Linked DNA regions of Saccharomyces cerevisiae S288C. The protein of the gene in region 1 purifies or fractionates together with the protein of each later gene. This does not show direct contact. Each region holds a gene or a part of one and is shown in the gene's direction. Other genes may lie near its edges. The genes, in order: NPL3, MSL5, RAT1 and CAF20.

Region 1 (4,511 bases):
GATGTAACCTCTACATGTGTTGATATACCACCCGTATGTAATTTTATCTGATCTTCTATTTCACTGAAGGATTCTGTTGTTGTCCCTAGGTTAGTTAACGATTCAGCAAATAAAGGTAAGTATGGGAAGAGTTCAAAGGGTATTATGTCATTTAGTAAACGTTTACCTCTGACATATGTGATACCATTGGTATCAGTAATCCTAGACATTGTATTATTCTTCTGTTCGATTGAATATTTATCACCAGCTCTTGGGATGTCTTTTATTTGTAAGGTAGGTAAACAGGATAAATCTTCTTTTTCATTTTGTTTCTCCTGTAACAGTATACCACGTTTAAAGATGTTTTTCTTGTCTTGTTCATCCAAGGCAGTAATTTTTTCTCTCAGTCTTGTTTGTTCTTCATCATCCAAAGATTTAGAGAACTCTTCAGATCCCTGAATGGAAAACGTGAAACAAGGTTTATGAACGATATATTTACGGATTAAATCTTGGAATAAAGTATCACCTTTCGTTTCTAAGTCACCTCTAAATCTTTGCAAAACGTCCTCAAACAACAAGCTCTCAAAAGGATCGATTTTGTTTGTCCAACCAGGTAGTATAGAATAGAGTAATTGAAGTCCAAAGTCAGCCTTTTGATCCTTCTTAGATAATTCCAATTGTTCAATTATGGCATCGATACGCTTGCGGTCAAAAGGATGTTCTGTTTCCAACAGGTTTTGAAAAATATTATTTACAGTGTCTTTAAATATTTCAATATCACTCACGCCCTGTATACCAACAGTTAGCAAATTTACTGCTGTAGTTGGTTCAACACCTGAATTTACGGAGAACTCCAAACCAATTCCTGATTCTATTAATTTTTGATACATTACAGAAGAATGGCCATCCATTAATAAATTCCCCAGTACTTTTAACAAAAAGGTATCATATGTGTCCTGTGGCGCTCCACAAATCCACGTCATTGAGGCTTTTGTCTGCTTCTCCGGTGGAAGCATAGTATCTATTTGACCCAGTAACTTGACATCTATGTCTTTTTTTAAATCAATAGGCATTAACAACTTATCCTTTCGAGCTCTCTTCCCGTAACCACTGAACTGCTCATTTAATTGCTTTAACGTATCCACCAATGGCAAGTTACCGTACGTGAAAGTTTTTGCATTGGAGGGATGGTAATTTTTGTGATGGAAATCCAAGAGATCGCCGTATCTCAAGTCTGTAATTTTCATAGGATCTCCGCCGGAGTTATTCAGGGAAGGATAAATAGACTGTTGAAATTTACTCCAGAAATAGTAATTGGCATTTGATATTTGACCTTTCATTTCGTTATAGACAACACCTTTGAAAACAATGTTACTCTCCGGGTCTGTGATGTTTTTATGCTCCAACCTCCAACCCTCCTGATCAAAATCTTCTTGTTTAAGTAGCGGATTCAAGGTGGAGTCTAAATAAACACCTCTTAAATTAGCGAAATCTTGAGGGTTCGTAGTGGAAAAGGGAAAAAATGTATAATCTGGACCTGTCATAGCGTTCATGAAATTAGCTAGAGATTTATTTAGCATTTTGAAAAAAGGGTCCCTAACTGGATATTTAACAGACCCACACAACGTTGTATGCTCTAGAATATGAGGGACCCCAGTGGAATCTGGAGGGTTGGTTTTAAAAGCAATGCTGAACACATTATTCTTGTCGTCTCTATCAATATGCAAATGCTCGGCTCCTGTCTGGGAGTGCACCAAATCTACCGCAGTGAGTCTCAGCTCCGGAACCGGTAGAATTCTTCTCACTTCATAACCATGGAATATACCTCCAACTGGATATTTTCTAACGGCCTGTGCTTGGGCATACGAGGACGCAAATCGCTGAAACCGCAACATATATACCGCAGTATATTTTATAGTAACTTTATTCTTTTGAGTAGCCTTCTAATTGGTGGCTTATTGATTACAATTGCTTGTTATCATATCTGTCAATGCTTGTTCAACAATTCAATGATTTACTACTACCTTTATCATAGAGCCCCTCCGTATATTTATCACTGTAAACGAAGGGCAAAATTTTTTACATTCTTTTTTTTCGCCACCCAAAGGGATTTAAAAAGGACATGAGAAAAATAATTTCCTCTCTTCTAAATATATATACTTTTGAAGGAATCAAAATTAAGCAATTACGCTAAAACCATAAGGATAATGTCTGAAGCTCAAGAAACTCACGTAGAGCAACTACCAGAATCTGTTGTCGATGCCCCAGTCGAAGAACAGCACCAAGAACCACCACAGGCTCCAGATGCTCCACAAGAACCACAAGTTCCACAGGAATCTGCTCCACAGGAATCTGCTCCACAAGAACCACCAGCTCCACAAGAACAAAATGACGTTCCTCCACCATCTAATGCTCCAATTTATGAAGGCGAAGAATCCCACAGTGTCCAAGACTACCAAGAGGCCCACCAGCACCACCAACCACCTGAACCCCAACCATATTATCCTCCTCCTCCTCCAGGTGAACACATGCACGGTCGCCCACCAATGCACCACCGTCAAGAAGGAGAACTCTCGAACACCAGATTGTTTGTTAGACCTTTCCCATTGGACGTTCAAGAATCCGAGTTGAATGAAATCTTTGGTCCATTTGGACCAATGAAGGAAGTCAAGATCTTGAACGGCTTCGCGTTTGTTGAATTTGAAGAAGCAGAATCCGCTGCCAAAGCCATTGAAGAAGTTCACGGTAAGAGTTTTGCTAACCAACCTTTGGAAGTTGTTTACTCTAAATTGCCTGCCAAGAGATACCGTATCACCATGAAAAACTTACCAGAAGGTTGTTCATGGCAAGATCTTAAAGATTTAGCCAGGGAAAATAGTTTAGAAACTACTTTTTCTAGCGTCAATACCAGAGATTTTGATGGTACCGGTGCTCTAGAATTCCCTAGTGAAGAAATCTTGGTCGAAGCTTTGGAGAGATTAAACAATATTGAATTCAGAGGTTCTGTCATTACTGTTGAAAGAGATGACAATCCTCCACCAATCAGAAGATCAAATAGAGGTGGCTTCAGAGGTCGCGGCGGCTTCAGAGGCGGCTTCAGAGGTGGCTTCAGAGGCGGTTTCTCCAGAGGCGGCTTCGGTGGCCCCAGAGGTGGATTTGGTGGTCCAAGAGGTGGTTACGGTGGCTATTCCAGAGGTGGCTACGGTGGCTACTCCAGAGGCGGATATGGTGGCTCCAGAGGTGGTTACGATAGTCCTAGAGGTGGTTACGATAGTCCAAGAGGTGGTTATTCCAGAGGTGGCTATGGTGGTCCAAGAAATGATTACGGTCCTCCAAGAGGTAGCTACGGTGGTTCAAGAGGTGGTTATGATGGTCCAAGAGGCGATTATGGTCCTCCAAGAGATGCATACAGAACCAGAGATGCTCCACGTGAAAGATCACCAACCAGGTAAGCCATTTATATAGTTGAGAAAAAAAAAGGAGAAATTAACAAAAGATATGAATTGTTTTAAAACTTAAATATGAGACTGAGAACAAATGAAAAAGGAAAACATCGTATTAAATGTTGAAAAAGTTTTTTTTTTGAAGAACTTCCTCCCCATTCCCTCCCCTCCCTTTTATTAAGTATAGTTTTTGTTTATTAATAAGTTTAGTGTTAGAAGATCCCAAAGTATATGATTGAAAACAGAATTGTTTATTGCGAGTCCCGACTTCACTCCAGTAGATAGAATAATCCCATGATAACATTTAACATCCTTTTTACAACGGAATTTCATTTCCAAATTGATGAGTCGTTAAAACTTCTGTATTGGATTTTAATTAGACCTTCTTTCGTGTAATACTACTACTACTACCTCTAGATTCTTATGTGTCTTTCAATTTTTTTTATTTCCCTGCACCAAACTATCTTTTATTGAATGGAATGTGCTGCAAAATTAACAAAAATAAGTTTTACTTAAAGTTTCTAACGAGAATCTCCTCTTCAACATACGGGCAGGATAATATAATTGACTATACTGATAATGAACCCCGTTTTTTGTTATCTTGTGAGATAACTCAGTGGAAACTTGATCTAGCAGTAGACCAGTTTCCCCTCCCCCAATTAATACTAGAAAGTTGAGAAACTACAGAAATCTTGTAATTTAACCATTTTTTTGTCCCAAGCCGATCTATTTTGGATATCTTATTGTCATTTTTCAAGTGAAAAAAGGTCTCCCTTTCTATACGAGAGTTCTCATATGGAATGAGAGAATAAGCGGTAAGATATCGAACATTCACAAGAAATAAAGTACCAGTTAAGAGGTGCAATTGAATATATACAATATCCTATCATCTTAGTCCTTTGAGTATGCAAAAAGCTACAAATATAGTTGTTAGTTTGGGTCAGGCTAATTTCAAAGAATTTGAACTCCTATAAAGTTAAGTTGAAGAAACTAATAAGTACTATTATGGCCTGTTAAATCTGTGTTACGTATTAAATGATGTGTAATCCAGAAGTTATAAATAATGAAAGATGTCCTTACGTGGAGCTT
Region 2 (4,781 bases), on another chromosome or scaffold:
TTGGCTCCTCTCAACCGTTTAAAAAACGTTCAAAAATCTTTAAAGATACATTAAAGAAAGGTTTGAGTTCGGATGGGTCCGTTATAATACCGGTAGATATGAGTGGCAAATTTCTGGACCTGTTCACACAAGTTCATGAGTTATTATTTGAAAGCACAAAGATCAATGCGCACACACAAGTACCTGTACTTATTCTGTCTTACGCGAGAGGAAGAACTCTAACATATGCCAAATCAATGCTCGAGTGGCTGTCCCCTTCACTACTTAAGACATGGGAAAACAGAAATAATACTTCTCCATTTGAAATTGGATCACGGATCAAAATCATCGCACCAAACGAATTGAGTAAATATCCTGGTTCAAAGATTTGCTTCGTATCTGAGGTAGGAGCTTTGATTAATGAAGTGATAATTAAAGTTGGTAATTCTGAGAAGACAACCTTGATTTTGACCAAGCCGAGCTTTGAATGTGCGTCGTCTTTAGACAAGATACTAGAAATTGTTGAACAAGATGAAAGAAATTGGAAAACATTTCCTGAAGATGGTAAATCATTCCTCTGCGATAATTACATTTCAATAGACACCATAAAAGAAGAACCCTTGAGTAAAGAGGAAACAGAGGCGTTTAAAGTACAGCTTAAAGAAAAGAAAAGGGACAGAAATAAGAAAATTCTACTGGTGAAAAGAGAGTCTAAGAAACTGGCTAACGGCAACGCAATCATAGATGATACCAACGGAGAGAGGGCAATGAGAAATCAAGACATTTTAGTGGAAAACGTCAATGGAGTACCACCGATTGATCATATTATGGGGGGTGACGAAGATGATGATGAAGAGGAAGAAAACGACAATTTGTTGAATTTACTCAAGGATAACTCTGAGAAATCAGCAGCGAAAAAAAATACGGAAGTTCCTGTAGACATTATAATTCAACCAAGTGCCGCTTCAAAACATAAAATGTTCCCATTTAACCCCGCTAAAATCAAGAAAGATGATTATGGTACTGTTGTAGATTTTACGATGTTTTTACCTGATGATTCTGACAATGTTAATCAAAATAGCAGGAAAAGACCTCTCAAAGACGGTGCTAAAACCACGAGCCCTGTAAACGAAGAAGATAACAAAAATGAAGAAGAAGATGGTTATAATATGAGTGATCCAATTAGCAAAAGGAGCAAACACCGTGCTTCTCGTTACTCGGGATTTTCTGGAACCGGAGAAGCAGAAAATTTTGATAACCTTGACTATTTAAAGATAGACAAAACGCTCTCCAAAAGAACAATCTCAACTGTAAATGTCCAATTGAAATGCTCCGTAGTAATCCTAAATTTACAGAGTTTAGTTGATCAAAGGTCTGCATCTATTATATGGCCATCGCTAAAATCTAGAAAAATAGTTCTTTCCGCCCCCAAACAGATTCAAAATGAAGAAATTACGGCAAAACTTATCAAGAAAAATATTGAAGTGGTCAACATGCCATTAAATAAGATAGTGGAATTCAGTACAACAATAAAGACCCTGGATATCTCCATTGACTCCAACCTCGATAACCTTTTGAAATGGCAACGTATCAGTGATAGTTATACAGTTGCCACTGTCGTTGGCAGGCTGGTTAAGGAGAGCCTACCGCAAGTGAACAATCATCAAAAAACAGCGTCAAGGAGTAAACTAGTCTTGAAACCATTACACGGTTCATCTAGGAGCCATAAAACAGGTGCGTTGTCAATCGGTGACGTTAGGTTAGCACAATTAAAGAAACTTCTCACAGAGAAAAACTACATTGCAGAATTTAAAGGGGAAGGTACACTTGTCATAAATGAAAAAGTAGCAGTCCGCAAAATCAATGATGCAGAAACTATTATCGATGGTACGCCTTCCGAACTTTTTGATACTGTCAAAAAATTGGTTACGGATATGTTAGCAAAAATCTAGCCTTCTTGTATACAGCACAAATAAAAGGTTCAATTTACGTTCGTGGACTGCCCACAAAACAGTATGTGACATAAATTGCTGTGTATCTCGCACCGCTATTATCTGTATATAACATTCTAACTCACTTTTAACGATATTAGCATTATTGATTTCTTTCTTTTTCTGCTGAATTTCACCAAGCGGAAATTTTCAAAGCAGAATTTTTTCCCTAATTTGCTACAAGTGCTATTCTATCCCACAATAAAAGGAAATTGTTGATGAGTTTTAGAAGGATTAACTCTAGATACTTTGAAAATAGAAAAGGAAGCAGTATGGAAGAAAAAAAAGCAAAGGTTCCTCCAAACGTCAACCTTTCGTTATGGAGAAAGAACACGGTAGAAAGCGATGTCCATCGATTCAATTCTCTTCCATCAAAAATTAGTGGGGCCCTAACTAGGGAACAAATATACTCCTATCAAGTCATGTTTAGGATTCAAGAAATTACCATCAAACTGCGTACGAACGATTTTGTGCCCCCCTCCAGGAAAAATAGGTCACCTTCTCCGCCACCAGTTTATGATGCCCAAGGTAAAAGAACGAATACCCGTGAGCAGAGGTATAGAAAGAAACTAGAGGATGAACGTATTAAACTTGTTGAGATAGCCCTAAAGACCATCCCTTACTTCGTTCCTCCGGATGATTACAAGAGACCTACCAAATTTCAGGACAAGTATTATATCCCGGTGGATCAGTATCCTGATGTCAATTTTGTTGGTTTATTATTAGGTCCTCGTGGACGTACGTTAAGAAAGCTGCAAGAAGATTCGAATTGTAAGATTGCAATTAGAGGAAGAGGTTCAGTCAAAGAAGGTAAGAATGCAAGTGACTTACCTCCAGGCGCCATGAACTTTGAGGACCCCTTGCACTGTTTAATTATCGCAGACTCGGAAGACAAGATCCAAAAAGGTATAAAAGTTTGTCAAAACATTGTTATCAAAGCGGTGACATCTCCGGAAGGCCAGAATGACTTGAAACGAGGACAACTGAGAGAATTGGCGGAACTTAATGGTACTTTAAGAGAAGATAACAGGCCCTGTCCAATCTGTGGTTTAAAAGATCATAAAAGGTACGATTGTCCAAACAGAAAAATCCCAAATATACAGGGCATTGTTTGCAAAATATGTGGACAAACTGGACATTTCAGTAGAGACTGTAACTCATCGTCTCAAAGAATGAGCCGTTTTGACAGAAACGCCACGGTAAATAATTCTGCGCCAATACAGAGCAATGACGTACACTATAATAGCAATACTCATCCAATTCAAGCACCAAAAAGATCTCGTTATGACAATAACTCGACGGAACCTCCTTTAAAATTTCCGGCTTCTTCACGTTATGCACCATCACCTTCACCTCCTGCGTCACATATTTCGAGGCAAGCTCAAAACGTGACGCCTACACCCCCTCCCGGCCTAACATCAAGTAGCTTTAGTTCCGGAGTTCCAGGAATCGCCCCTCCCCCATTACAAAGCCCTCCAGAGTCGGAACAACCGAAATTTTCGCTACCTCCACCTCCCGGTATGACTACGGTACAATCCTCAATTGCACCTCCTCCTGGCCTAAGCGGTCCTCCAGGGTTTTCTAATAACATGGGCAATGACATTAACAAACCTACACCTCCGGGACTGCAAGGGCCTCCCGGATTATAATACACTCCCATTATACAATATCTGCATTTTTTTTTATTTGTGTTGAAGGTATGTAGTCTCTATTTTGCATAGTTCCTTTTTTTGTTGGTTTTTTGCCTTCCTGGTTATTATTAACTTTTGATATTTAATTTACTTACTAGCTTATTCTACTACTGTTTAGTTTCTACGGCCTGAACTACAATGACAAAAATATTATTTCACGATACCCTTACCTTTATTCAAAGTGCCTGTTCCTGTTTCCATTTTTTGGCTAGTTCCAAGAACTTTGATGGTTTTGGCTTGTCATCATCGATATCATCAGGAAAAATGTAATCCACGAATTCTTCTTCCACACCGTTCTGTAACCTCACTTTTTTGATTACTTTAGGGAATCTTTTCTTGACGGTTTCTTGATCGAGTTCAGTACCGTAAGTTTCTTCATAGTCTTTTAGCGCTTCCAAAATAGACAGTCTCCCTTGTTTATCATCCTTCTCCTTGAAAAAAACTATCGCCTCTTCAAAAACTTTTCTTGCCTCCAATTTATTCTCATCGGTAATTTCAAACTCTATGTCTTCATCCACATTTTCGCTTTGCAGTTTTGCTAAATCTAATAGTTGTTGCTCCGTCGGGGTTGAAGTTTGATACATGGCGAATTCGATCCAGCTTTGGGGGGAATATTGGTTGAGCTCCAAATATCTTCTATAAAGCTTCCTTGCCTTTTCAAATTCTTGTGATTCTGTCTCAAATGTTATGTATTTTTGAAGTAATACAATTTTAGCCTCCTTTGTTAAGAAATCAGAATTTTCATCTAGTGCAATTGTATATATACCTCTTACTCTATCCCAATCTCCTAAATTTTCTTCTAGTTCTCCATATTGTGACCAAATTTGTAGATCAGAGGGCTGAAATTCAATAAATTTCTCATATATTTTTCTCACACGATCAAATTCCTTCAACTTCACTTCCAACTCGATATATCCTTTGAAAGTTTTAGCCTTAGGACATAAACCGATTGCTTTACCCAAAATTTTTCTCGCCTTCGGTACATCATCATGTCGTATCAGAAATTTAGCATACATTAGCCATATTTTGGAAAAAGTGAAATGTTTATGAGGGATGATGTCGTCAATTAACCTCTGAAAAAGTTCTTCTTCTAAAAGCGAATTTTCCAATTCTAACTCAA
Region 3 (6,665 bases), on another chromosome or scaffold:
TTCGCTCGGACTCTTTTTCCGCGGAAAGATATGGTCTCCGTCGGTCCTCTGTTTCCTATTATATTTGCGCACAGTGACAGTGCGGCAATTGATATGTCAGGGACCACTGGAAAACGACGTTGCCTAGTAGTTGTGGCAGCTCCGATAGTTGACATTCTCATTAGTAACCGAACTTCTTGCACCAAGTCCTGTGCGAGTGCTGCACGGCCATGCCTTGAGGGTTCTGTCGCCCCCTAGCTGTACGTAAGCATCCCCCGTAATTTTTCCGCAAATGTCGAAAAGCTCTTGACTTTTTCTCGCTATCTCGCTCTCTAAAAGGGAATAGGTGTGATTCTGATCGGTTGTACCCACGGAGCTCTAATTTGCCCTGTTTATTTTTCTTTGGTGTGCCTCCCATTTTCACCTAAAACAGTTGAGCTGATGGGCAAAACACTATATAAGGTTTATTATTTGCAGTCGACCCCAGAATCAATAGAAATAAGAAGAGTTTTCCTTGTCGCTTGCACAGTAAAGTATTTTTTTTTTTTCTTTCAGTAGTAGACTTAAAATTCATTACTTTTCTACGTAAACTCTGGTTTCCTAGCAGTTCAAGCAATAGTATACTAAGGGCGTAACTAATTACTGCTGGTTGTTCTAAAATAGATTTCTCACAGTACTTTTTTTCTGATTATAGACGTTGAGAAATTCAAAATGTCCAACGCAACAAATAATACGTTAGGCAGTCTTTTGCCACAGTTAGAAGCAGCAGCTAACAGTAATTCCCTTTATGGTGGTATGGTACCGAACCTTCGTTTTAATATCACGATGATTGTCATTTGGGGTATACTACTGACAATACATGTCGTACAGTTACTGATGCGCCAATACTGGTTTTCAATCGCTTTTATATGCACAGGTATTTTGGAAGTTCTTGGATTTATAGGGAGGACGTGGTCGCATTCTAATGTCGCCGATATGGACGCTTTTCTTTTGAACATGATTTGTTTGACTATTGCACCAGTTTTCACAATGGGTGGTATTTATTATCAACTTGCAAAGCTTATAGAAGTATACGGCCACAGGTTCTCTTTATTGCCCTCTCCAATGGCGTATTCTTTTATTTTCATATGTTCCGATATCGTATCGCTTGTGGTGCAAGCTGTAGGCGGTGGCCTGTGTGGTGTGGCGGTCACAGATGGAACGTCCACAACAACCGGCAATCATGTTTTCATTGCTGGTTTGGCCATTCAAGTTGCATCGATGGCCATCTTTCTTATGTTATGGTTTCACTTCCTTTTCCGTATATATATATCGGTAAGATGGGAACACATAAATTCTAGACCTATCTCATTGAGCCTCTTAAAGATATCGCAAACAGAAGTTGATTATTTATACAGGGAAAAGTTCCATTTTTTGAGACTCGAACCTAAACGTTGGGTTTTTCATTATTTTAATCTGGCAATAACCGTTGCGGTACTAACCATTTTTACCCGTTGTTGTTACCGTTTGGCTGAATTAGTTGTCGGTTGGGATGGCTATCTGATCACACACGAGTGGTATTTTATTATCTTAGATGCATTAATGATGGCCATCGCTACGGTCACTTTGACCATCTTCCACCCTGGATTTGCGTTTAAAGGTAGAAGCACCTCGATTCCAATCACACCGGGCCATGTTGATCCTGAAACTTTACCACATACTGACGATGTTGAAGATATCTTAGATACTTCGGATTCAAAACAATTTGATATTGAAAAGGAGGAATTCCAAGCAAGCATGAAATACCCGATTAGCACCTTCAAACAATTCATGTCCAAAATAGCTAACTTGTTTTCCTCTAAAAAGAAGGCTAAACTTTAGTGATACGTAGAATTTGAATGTCAATCTGATCGTTCATATGCATTTTTCAATTCTTACTTTTTTTCTCGAAGTTCCCGACTATGTTCTGTTTATTTTTTCTCCTATTCAAAAGAACCGGACAGCATTTTTACTTCCTTATATTTCGACATCGTAATATGTACATTTTTTAGTTCACAAGTATTTTTCCCCTTTCAATGCTTTAATCAGCCTTCAACGTCATACATACTTTCTATTTTGTTCCTGTGCCATCGTATAACTTTCCTCGTTTAGTGTTTTCGCCTCAGCTTAATGTAGATCACTGTTTTGACGTTCTTCCATTTTTGGGAACGAACTAAACTAAAAAAAAGAAAACTACAGAGTTTCCCATAGAGAACAGAAAATCCGCTATCGGCAGCTTATAGGGTCATATAATTATGGCGCACATAAGGAAAATAAATTTATTTGAATCAATCAACAGACCTATCTGTTGATATATGAAAGAGAGCAGGAGCGTTAGTTTACCTCCATAAACAGTAAAATTAAAGCAAAAAAGCGTAACTGCTGATTGAAGCCTATATCACCGGGCTAAAATCTTATATCGGTTAAGAAAGTGATTAATTTATAGATATGTTCACGAAATCTTTTCTATTCAAAGATTCACGAATTTTACTCGATTTTTATAGTATACTGAAACAAGTAGTTGTAAAATCAATTCACCAAAAAAGCTTTCCCCATCTCTGATGAAAAACTACGAAAAGTTTACTATCACATAATATCGGAAGTACGTTTTTAAGGCACTGCAATGTATTTTATAATCTTGAACATTTGGAGGTATATTACCTTACTTTCTCATCAGGTTGTATATTTGAGCGTCTCGGGAATGATAAGTCGGGTAACGAGAGTATCTAGATAAGATTTTCAGCTATGGCAATAAAAAACCAAACCTCATCGATGAACCTATTACAACATAAAGACATCCCGTAATAATTAGTGAGACAGGTTCTTCAAGGAAGTGCTACAGCCAAGTTTCGTAATATAATGGGTGTTCCGTCATTTTTCAGATGGCTATCTCGAAAATATCCAAAGATCATATCCCCAGTATTGGAAGAGCAACCTCAGATAGTCGACGGTGTCATATTGCCGTTGGATTATTCCGCCTCAAATCCAAACGGTGAGTTAGACAACTTGTATTTGGATATGAATGGTATTGTTCATCCATGTTCGCACCCAGAAAACAAACCGCCTCCAGAGACTGAAGATGAAATGCTTTTGGCAGTTTTTGAATATACCAATCGTGTGTTAAATATGGCTAGACCACGCAAGGTACTTGTTATGGCTGTTGATGGTGTTGCTCCTCGTGCCAAAATGAACCAGCAGAGAGCGCGTAGATTTAGGAGTGCTAGGGATGCTCAGATTGAAAACGAAGCCAGGGAAGAAATTATGAGACAGCGAGAAGAAGTTGGTGAGATAATCGATGATGCCGTCAGGAACAAGAAAACTTGGGATTCAAATGCGATCACTCCAGGCACCCCATTTATGGATAAGCTTGCCGCGGCCCTCCGTTATTGGACAGCATTTAAACTGGCCACTGACCCTGGTTGGAAAAACCTGCAGGTGATTATCAGTGACGCCACCGTCCCAGGTGAAGGTGAGCACAAAATAATGAATTTCATTAGGTCTCAAAGAGCTGATCCTGAATATAATCCCAACACAACGCACTGTATATACGGTTTGGATGCTGATTTAATTTTTTTGGGCCTTGCCACTCATGAACCACATTTTAAAATTCTAAGAGAAGATGTTTTTGCTCAAGACAATCGGAAAAGAAATAACTTAAAAGATACTATAAATATGACTGAAGAAGAAAAACAATTTCTCCAAAAACAAAATTCCGAACAACCTTTCTTGTGGCTGCACATAAATGTTTTGAGGGAATACTTGTCCGCTGAGTTATGGGTTCCGGGTCTTCCATTTACATTTGATTTAGAAAGGGCTATCGACGATTGGGTTTTCATGTGCTTTTTCTGTGGTAATGACTTTTTACCACATTTACCATGCTTAGATGTCAGAGAAAATAGTATTGATATTCTCTTGGATATTTGGAAGGTAGTACTACCGAAATTGAAAACGTACATGACCTGCGACGGTGTCTTGAACCTCCCTTCTGTTGAAACGCTATTGCAACACCTTGGCTCCCGTGAGGGGGATATCTTCAAAACTAGACATATTCAAGAAGCCAGAAAGAAAGAAGCTTTTGAAAGAAGGAAAGCGCAGAAAAATATGTCAAAAGGTCAAGACAGGCATCCTACAGTAGCTACGGAGCAACTGCAAATGTATGACACACAAGGAAATTTAGCAAAAGGTTCATGGAACTTGACCACCAGTGATATGGTAAGGTTGAAAAAGGAACTGATGCTTGCGAACGAGGGGAACGAAGAAGCAATCGCCAAAGTTAAGCAACAGAGTGATAAGAACAATGAACTGATGAAAGATATCAGCAAGGAAGAAATTGATGATGCTGTTAGTAAGGCTAACAAAACTAATTTTAACCTTGCAGAAGTTATGAAACAGAAAATAATAAATAAGAAACACCGTCTTGAAAAGGATAATGAAGAGGAAGAAATTGCTAAGGATAGCAAAAAAGTTAAGACAGAGAAAGCGGAATCAGAGTGCGATCTCGATGCAGAGATCAAAGATGAGATTGTGGCTGACGTAAACGACAGGGAAAACTCTGAAACTACAGAAGTATCAAGAGATTCACCAGTCCACAGCACAGTGAATGTCAGCGAAGGTCCCAAAAATGGGGTCTTTGATACAGATGAATTTGTCAAACTATTCGAACCTGGTTACCACGAAAGATATTACACAGCTAAATTTCACGTTACTCCTCAAGATATTGAACAGTTAAGAAAAGATATGGTAAAATGCTATATCGAAGGGGTCGCCTGGGTACTAATGTATTACTATCAAGGTTGTGCCTCTTGGAATTGGTTCTATCCGTACCATTATGCTCCTCTGGCAACAGATTTCCATGGGTTTTCTCACTTGGAGATAAAGTTCGAAGAAGGTACTCCATTTTTACCTTACGAACAATTGATGAGTGTTTTACCAGCTGCATCTGGCCATGCTTTGCCAAAAATTTTCCGGTCTTTGATGTCTGAACCTGACTCTGAAATCATTGATTTTTATCCTGAAGAATTTCCCATAGATATGAATGGTAAGAAGATGTCCTGGCAAGGCATAGCGTTGCTACCATTCATCGATCAGGATAGACTGTTAACAGCTGTTCGTGCACAATATCCTTTACTTTCTGATGCTGAGAGGGCAAGAAATATTCGCGGAGAACCTGTTTTATTAATAAGTAACAAGAATGCTAATTATGAGAGGTTTTCGAAGAAATTATACTCAAAGGAAAACAACAACAACAATGTTGTTGTGAAGTTTCAACACTTCAAGAGTGGTTTAAGTGGTATTGTATCAAAGGACGTTGAAGGTTTCGAATTAAATGGGAAAATTGTATGTCCGATTCAAGGTGGGTCACTGCCAAATTTATCTACCACCTTGATTTTAAAGATGTCCTATAGATTAATTCCGTTGCCATCGAGAAATAAGTCTATTATACTGAACGGGTTCATTCCGTCAGAACCGGTACTAACAGCATATGACCTTGATTCCATAATGTACAAGTATAATAACCAAAATTACTCCCGTCGCTGGAACTTTGGTAATGATTTGAAGCAAAATATTGTTCCAGTAGGACCAAAGGGTATTACTCAGTACAAACCAAGAACTGGTGGCTATCGAGCATTCTTTTATTTTGCTGAGCTCAGTAGAAATAATGTCCAACCCGCCCACAACTATGGTAGGAATAGCTACAACAGTCAACCCGGCTTCAACAATAGCAGGTATGATGGTGGAAACAATAATTACAGACAAAATTCAAATTACAGGAACAATAACTATTCCGGAAATAGAAATAGTGGACAGTACAGCGGCAACAGCTACTCTCGGAATAACAAGCAAAGTCGGTATGACAATTCAAGAGCAAATAGGCGTTAGAACTACTCGTGCGCATTTTATTTTATGGTAAATTTAGGTTTTCGCAAATTTATAAAATCTTCATACAATTAAAAAAAAGCTCTTTTAAGATAATAGTGTCTGCTCTTACAAACGACGAACAGTAATATTTTATAACAAAAAATGGAACATATTAAGTTAAGAGAAAATCATGCTGAAGCATGAATATATGAATATACGTCCTCTTGTAAAATAGCGAAATCCTTGTAAGCCAATAGACCGAACTCTATTTTGATTTATACGCTTCGTGTATTTTTTCTTCCAGATCCAGGAGAAAAAGCATGGTCTGTTCTTCTTTTTTGAAAAGAGAGGCAGTCCACGGCGAAAGTTTCGAATACGGCACTACCTTTTTTTTCTAAGTTCCTAAACTTAAAATCAAATTTGGTCTTTGGTCTGTTATCATCCAGGGATGAATGCAACATATTGGGAAGTTCATGCTATACAACGCCAACCCCTTCGCTCAAGTCACGAAAGCACATCTTACACTTCCTCCTTGGCCAATATGCAAGCGTCCTCTTCAAAAAATCTTGCAACAAACAATCGGGTAATGTGGGATGTTGTGGAAAAATGAAATAAAGTTTTCAATAAATCCGACTGAGCTAAGCAGGAAAATTTTCGTACGCGGGTTTTTGTCCAATTTTTTCCCTTCCTTTTGAAAACACGGAAAATCTTTTAGCGAAGGCTGCTCTTAGTTCCATAACGGAAAAATTCCAGGAGTTATTAAAAGACAGAGTTATAGTTTAGTAAATTTTCTTTTGAGTTAACGAGAG
Region 4 (2,769 bases), on another chromosome or scaffold:
TCCTGTATGATCATCTTAATCTTATTCGTTAGAGGATCATTAGATTCCGGTAACCTGATCTCTGATCCAATCAAATTTTTATCGATGCTTTGAAATAGTTCATTTGTTTGTTTGTCAATCGCACTACCTTCATCAAGGTATCCTCTCAGCTTTTTTAGTTTTTCATAATATGCTGTGTTAGTAGTTGAAGATTCGGGTAAAGTCCAATTTAAGGTTCCGTGTTTTAGTCGGAGCTGATTGTCAGTAAATGCTTCTTCATTTAAAATTTGCTCAATGTTATCGAGTTGTACCTGCACATTTTTATTATTAATGAGAAGATTATTCAGTGATGCCTGGTAATGACTCAGTTCTGCTTCACTCACCTTTGTAAGCCCTTGTGGTATTTGGAAAGTAGTCAAGGACTCCTTCAATAGTTTATTTAGGGAAGCAAGGGGATTGGTAACACGTTGTTCAACGTATTCATCTTGCCTTTCATTGTATGCTGTGCAATATTCCATCACTTCTATAGGGATTAGGTCTTTGAATAAAGTCTCATCCTTTTTAATAGAAGGCAACAATGTTGCTGAAGAAGATGGTTTAACCATGAGAGCTGGTTTGATCGATGGTAATTCCGAAGGAACTTCTTGTAAGTAGATGAATTCATTGTCTCTTTGGGCTTCTTTCAGAGAAGATTCGACAACAGTTTTAAACTTAGCTTGCGAAGATAGTGTTGATTCATTTATAAATTGCAATCCCATTTGCAGAGCTTTCACAACATTTCCGAACTGCTTCTTCTCATTAAAAGATAAGGCTATTCTGTAATAAGTCACCGCACTAAAGTAAGCCTTTTTAGCCTTTAAGTGGTTTATCCAATCACTTCTAATAAGTTTCCCCCTTTGGGCGTCATTAATAGCCTCGCAGTAGAAGTCCACGATCTGTTGTGACAACTTCGCGATTAAGGAGTCCTTGTGTTTATCTTGCACGGCTTTAAACCAGAAGCATTCTTGCGCTTGTGCTAGCATCAGGGAGGTTAAAGCGTTCAATGTGGCGTCATCTACCACTGGGATTGTCTCAAGATTTTTTTGGTGGTCTAAAACATGTTTAAAGCATCCGGCGGCATTCTGGAAGTACAGACATGACGTTTTGAGGGATTCGGCTGCATCATTGTTGCTATTTAGAGCCAACAGTGAATACATGCAACCAATATTATAAATAATGGTTAATTTTTCCCATTGTAATGAGTATTGACTAGTACCACGAGATTTTTGTGATAGCGTTTGAAACCATGTAAATTCTATTTGATTATTGGGAAACTTTTTCTCTAATTGCAACAATATTACATAGTATTCCTTCAGTGCAGAAAGACCGTCGATTGAGATATCGGGTGCAATCGCATTGTTTCTTGCATCAACAACTTTGAGTATGTCTGATTGGAAAAAGGATGCCGTTTGAAAGGAAGTAGTATCAATTAGTTTTGACAACTCCGTGGCAAAGTCCACTTCTAAAGTTCGCTTAAGTGGAATGGCAAGCAGTTCACTCATGTCACACTGCCTGGATCTCCATAGATAATAATACTCTCTCTGCAAGGGTATAGTAGTGTTTTAATAAGGCTTTATAGTCCCTTTTCTTATGCTATATTATAAAGCCGGGTAGTAGCGAGGCTTGAATATCTCTTTTCCTGGACGAAAAATAGTGAAAAATTGGAAAAAGTATTTGGCGTAAAGCATATTCTACCGATTGCGATAGACATTATTTGAGCTGTAACCTGAATATAGGATTAAGAACTTTTATTTAATTTCACGACATGATCAAGTATACTATCGATGAGCTTTTTCAACTGAAGCCAAGTTTAACTTTGGAAGTTAATTTCGATGCGGTGGAATTTAGAGCCATCATTGAAAAAGTTAAGCAATTGCAACACTTGAAAGAGGAAGAGTTTAACAGTCATCATGTTGGTCATTTCGGTCGTAGAAGATCTTCCCACCATCATGGTAGACCAAAGATTAAGCACAACAAGCCTAAGGTTACAACCGATTCAGATGGTTGGTGCACATTTGAAGCCAAGAAGAAGGGTAGTGGAGAAGATGATGAAGAAGAAACAGAAACCACACCAACTTCTACTGTGCCAGTTGCTACCATTGCCCAAGAAACTTTAAAAGTCAAGCCAAATAACAAAAATATTTCTTCCAACAGACCTGCTGATACCAGAGATATTGTTGCGGACAAGCCAATTCTTGGTTTCAACGCATTTGCTGCTTTGGAAAGTGAAGACGAAGACGACGAAGCATAAGTCATTCGCTCATGCTTTCTTCAGGCAGCTGTACGTGTACTATGTATAAATTTTGAATAACATTTTTTTTAATAAACAGTTTTTACTCTTTTAGGTTACTTTCCAGATTGAAAATATACAACGTGGTTACATAAAGAAATTAAAATGTAGAACGAATCATGACCAACTGTATCAGGTGTTTAAAAAGGCGAGGTGAAAGAGAAAGGCTTCCCCCTCTAATATCAACAGCTGGAGATACATCTTTCTAATAATTAATCTACCATGAGCCGTACGCACTGAAGCAACGCCCATCAAACATCCGAAGCCACATTATGAGTACAAAAGAGGCTGACGTTAATAGGAACTCATGGTGTAATTTTGCTTCACTTTTCTGAATTCAAATGGAAATAGAAGTAAAAATGGGCAGAAAAGTTACCTCATGCTTTAAATATACTCAACTTTTCTCTACCGACAGTAGGAGCCCTAAGAGATAAAGCGAAAAATTTTCACAGCGCGCTCCT

Evidence for each region.
Region 2: the proteins of NPL3 (region 1) and MSL5 purify together in Saccharomyces cerevisiae (affinity purification with mass spectrometry; 2 studies listed by BioGRID). This does not show direct contact.
Region 3: the proteins of NPL3 (region 1) and RAT1 purify together in Saccharomyces cerevisiae (affinity purification with mass spectrometry; 4 studies listed by BioGRID, with this or other methods). This does not show direct contact.
Region 4: the proteins of NPL3 (region 1) and CAF20 purify together in Saccharomyces cerevisiae (affinity purification with mass spectrometry; 3 studies listed by BioGRID, with this or other methods). This does not show direct contact.

The regions. Positions count from the first base shown.
Region 1 is NC_001136.10:1,326,597-1,331,107, forward strand, and holds NPL3 (mRNA-binding protein NPL3), read left to right. Parts: upstream 1-2,186; coding exon 2,187-3,431; downstream 3,432-4,511. Other genes in the region: CYM1 (pitrilysin family metalloprotease), read right to left, coding at 1-1,874. UniProt on the Saccharomyces cerevisiae protein: Involved in mRNA processing and export. Required for efficient splicing of a large set of pre-mRNAs by efficient co-transcriptional recruitment of the splicing machinery. Remains associated with the mRNP during early steps of translation elongation.
Region 2 is NC_001144.5:378,634-383,414, forward strand, and holds MSL5 (mRNA splicing protein MSL5), read left to right. Parts: upstream 1-2,188; coding exon 2,189-3,619; downstream 3,620-4,781. Other genes in the region: cleavage polyadenylation factor subunit CFT2, read left to right, coding at 1-1,931; CLF1 (Clf1p), read right to left, coding at 3,838-4,781.
Region 3 is NC_001147.6:417,842-424,506, reverse strand, and holds RAT1 (ssRNA exonuclease RAT1), read left to right. Parts: upstream 1-2,856; coding exon 2,857-5,877; downstream 5,878-6,665. Other genes in the region: phospholipid-translocating ATPase RSB1, read left to right, coding at 775-1,839. UniProt on the Saccharomyces cerevisiae protein: Possesses 5'->3' exoribonuclease activity. Required for the processing of nuclear mRNA, rRNA and small nucleolar RNA (snoRNA) precursors.
Region 4 is NC_001147.6:839,550-842,318, forward strand, and holds CAF20 (Caf20p), read left to right. Parts: upstream 1-1,783; coding exon 1,784-2,269; downstream 2,270-2,769. Other genes in the region: RIM20 (Rim20p), read right to left, coding at 1-1,520. UniProt on the Saccharomyces cerevisiae protein: Acts as an inhibitor of cap-dependent translation. Competes with eIF4G1/TIF4631 and EAP1 for binding to eIF4E/TIF45 and interferes with the formation of the eIF4F complex, inhibiting translation and stabilizing mRNA.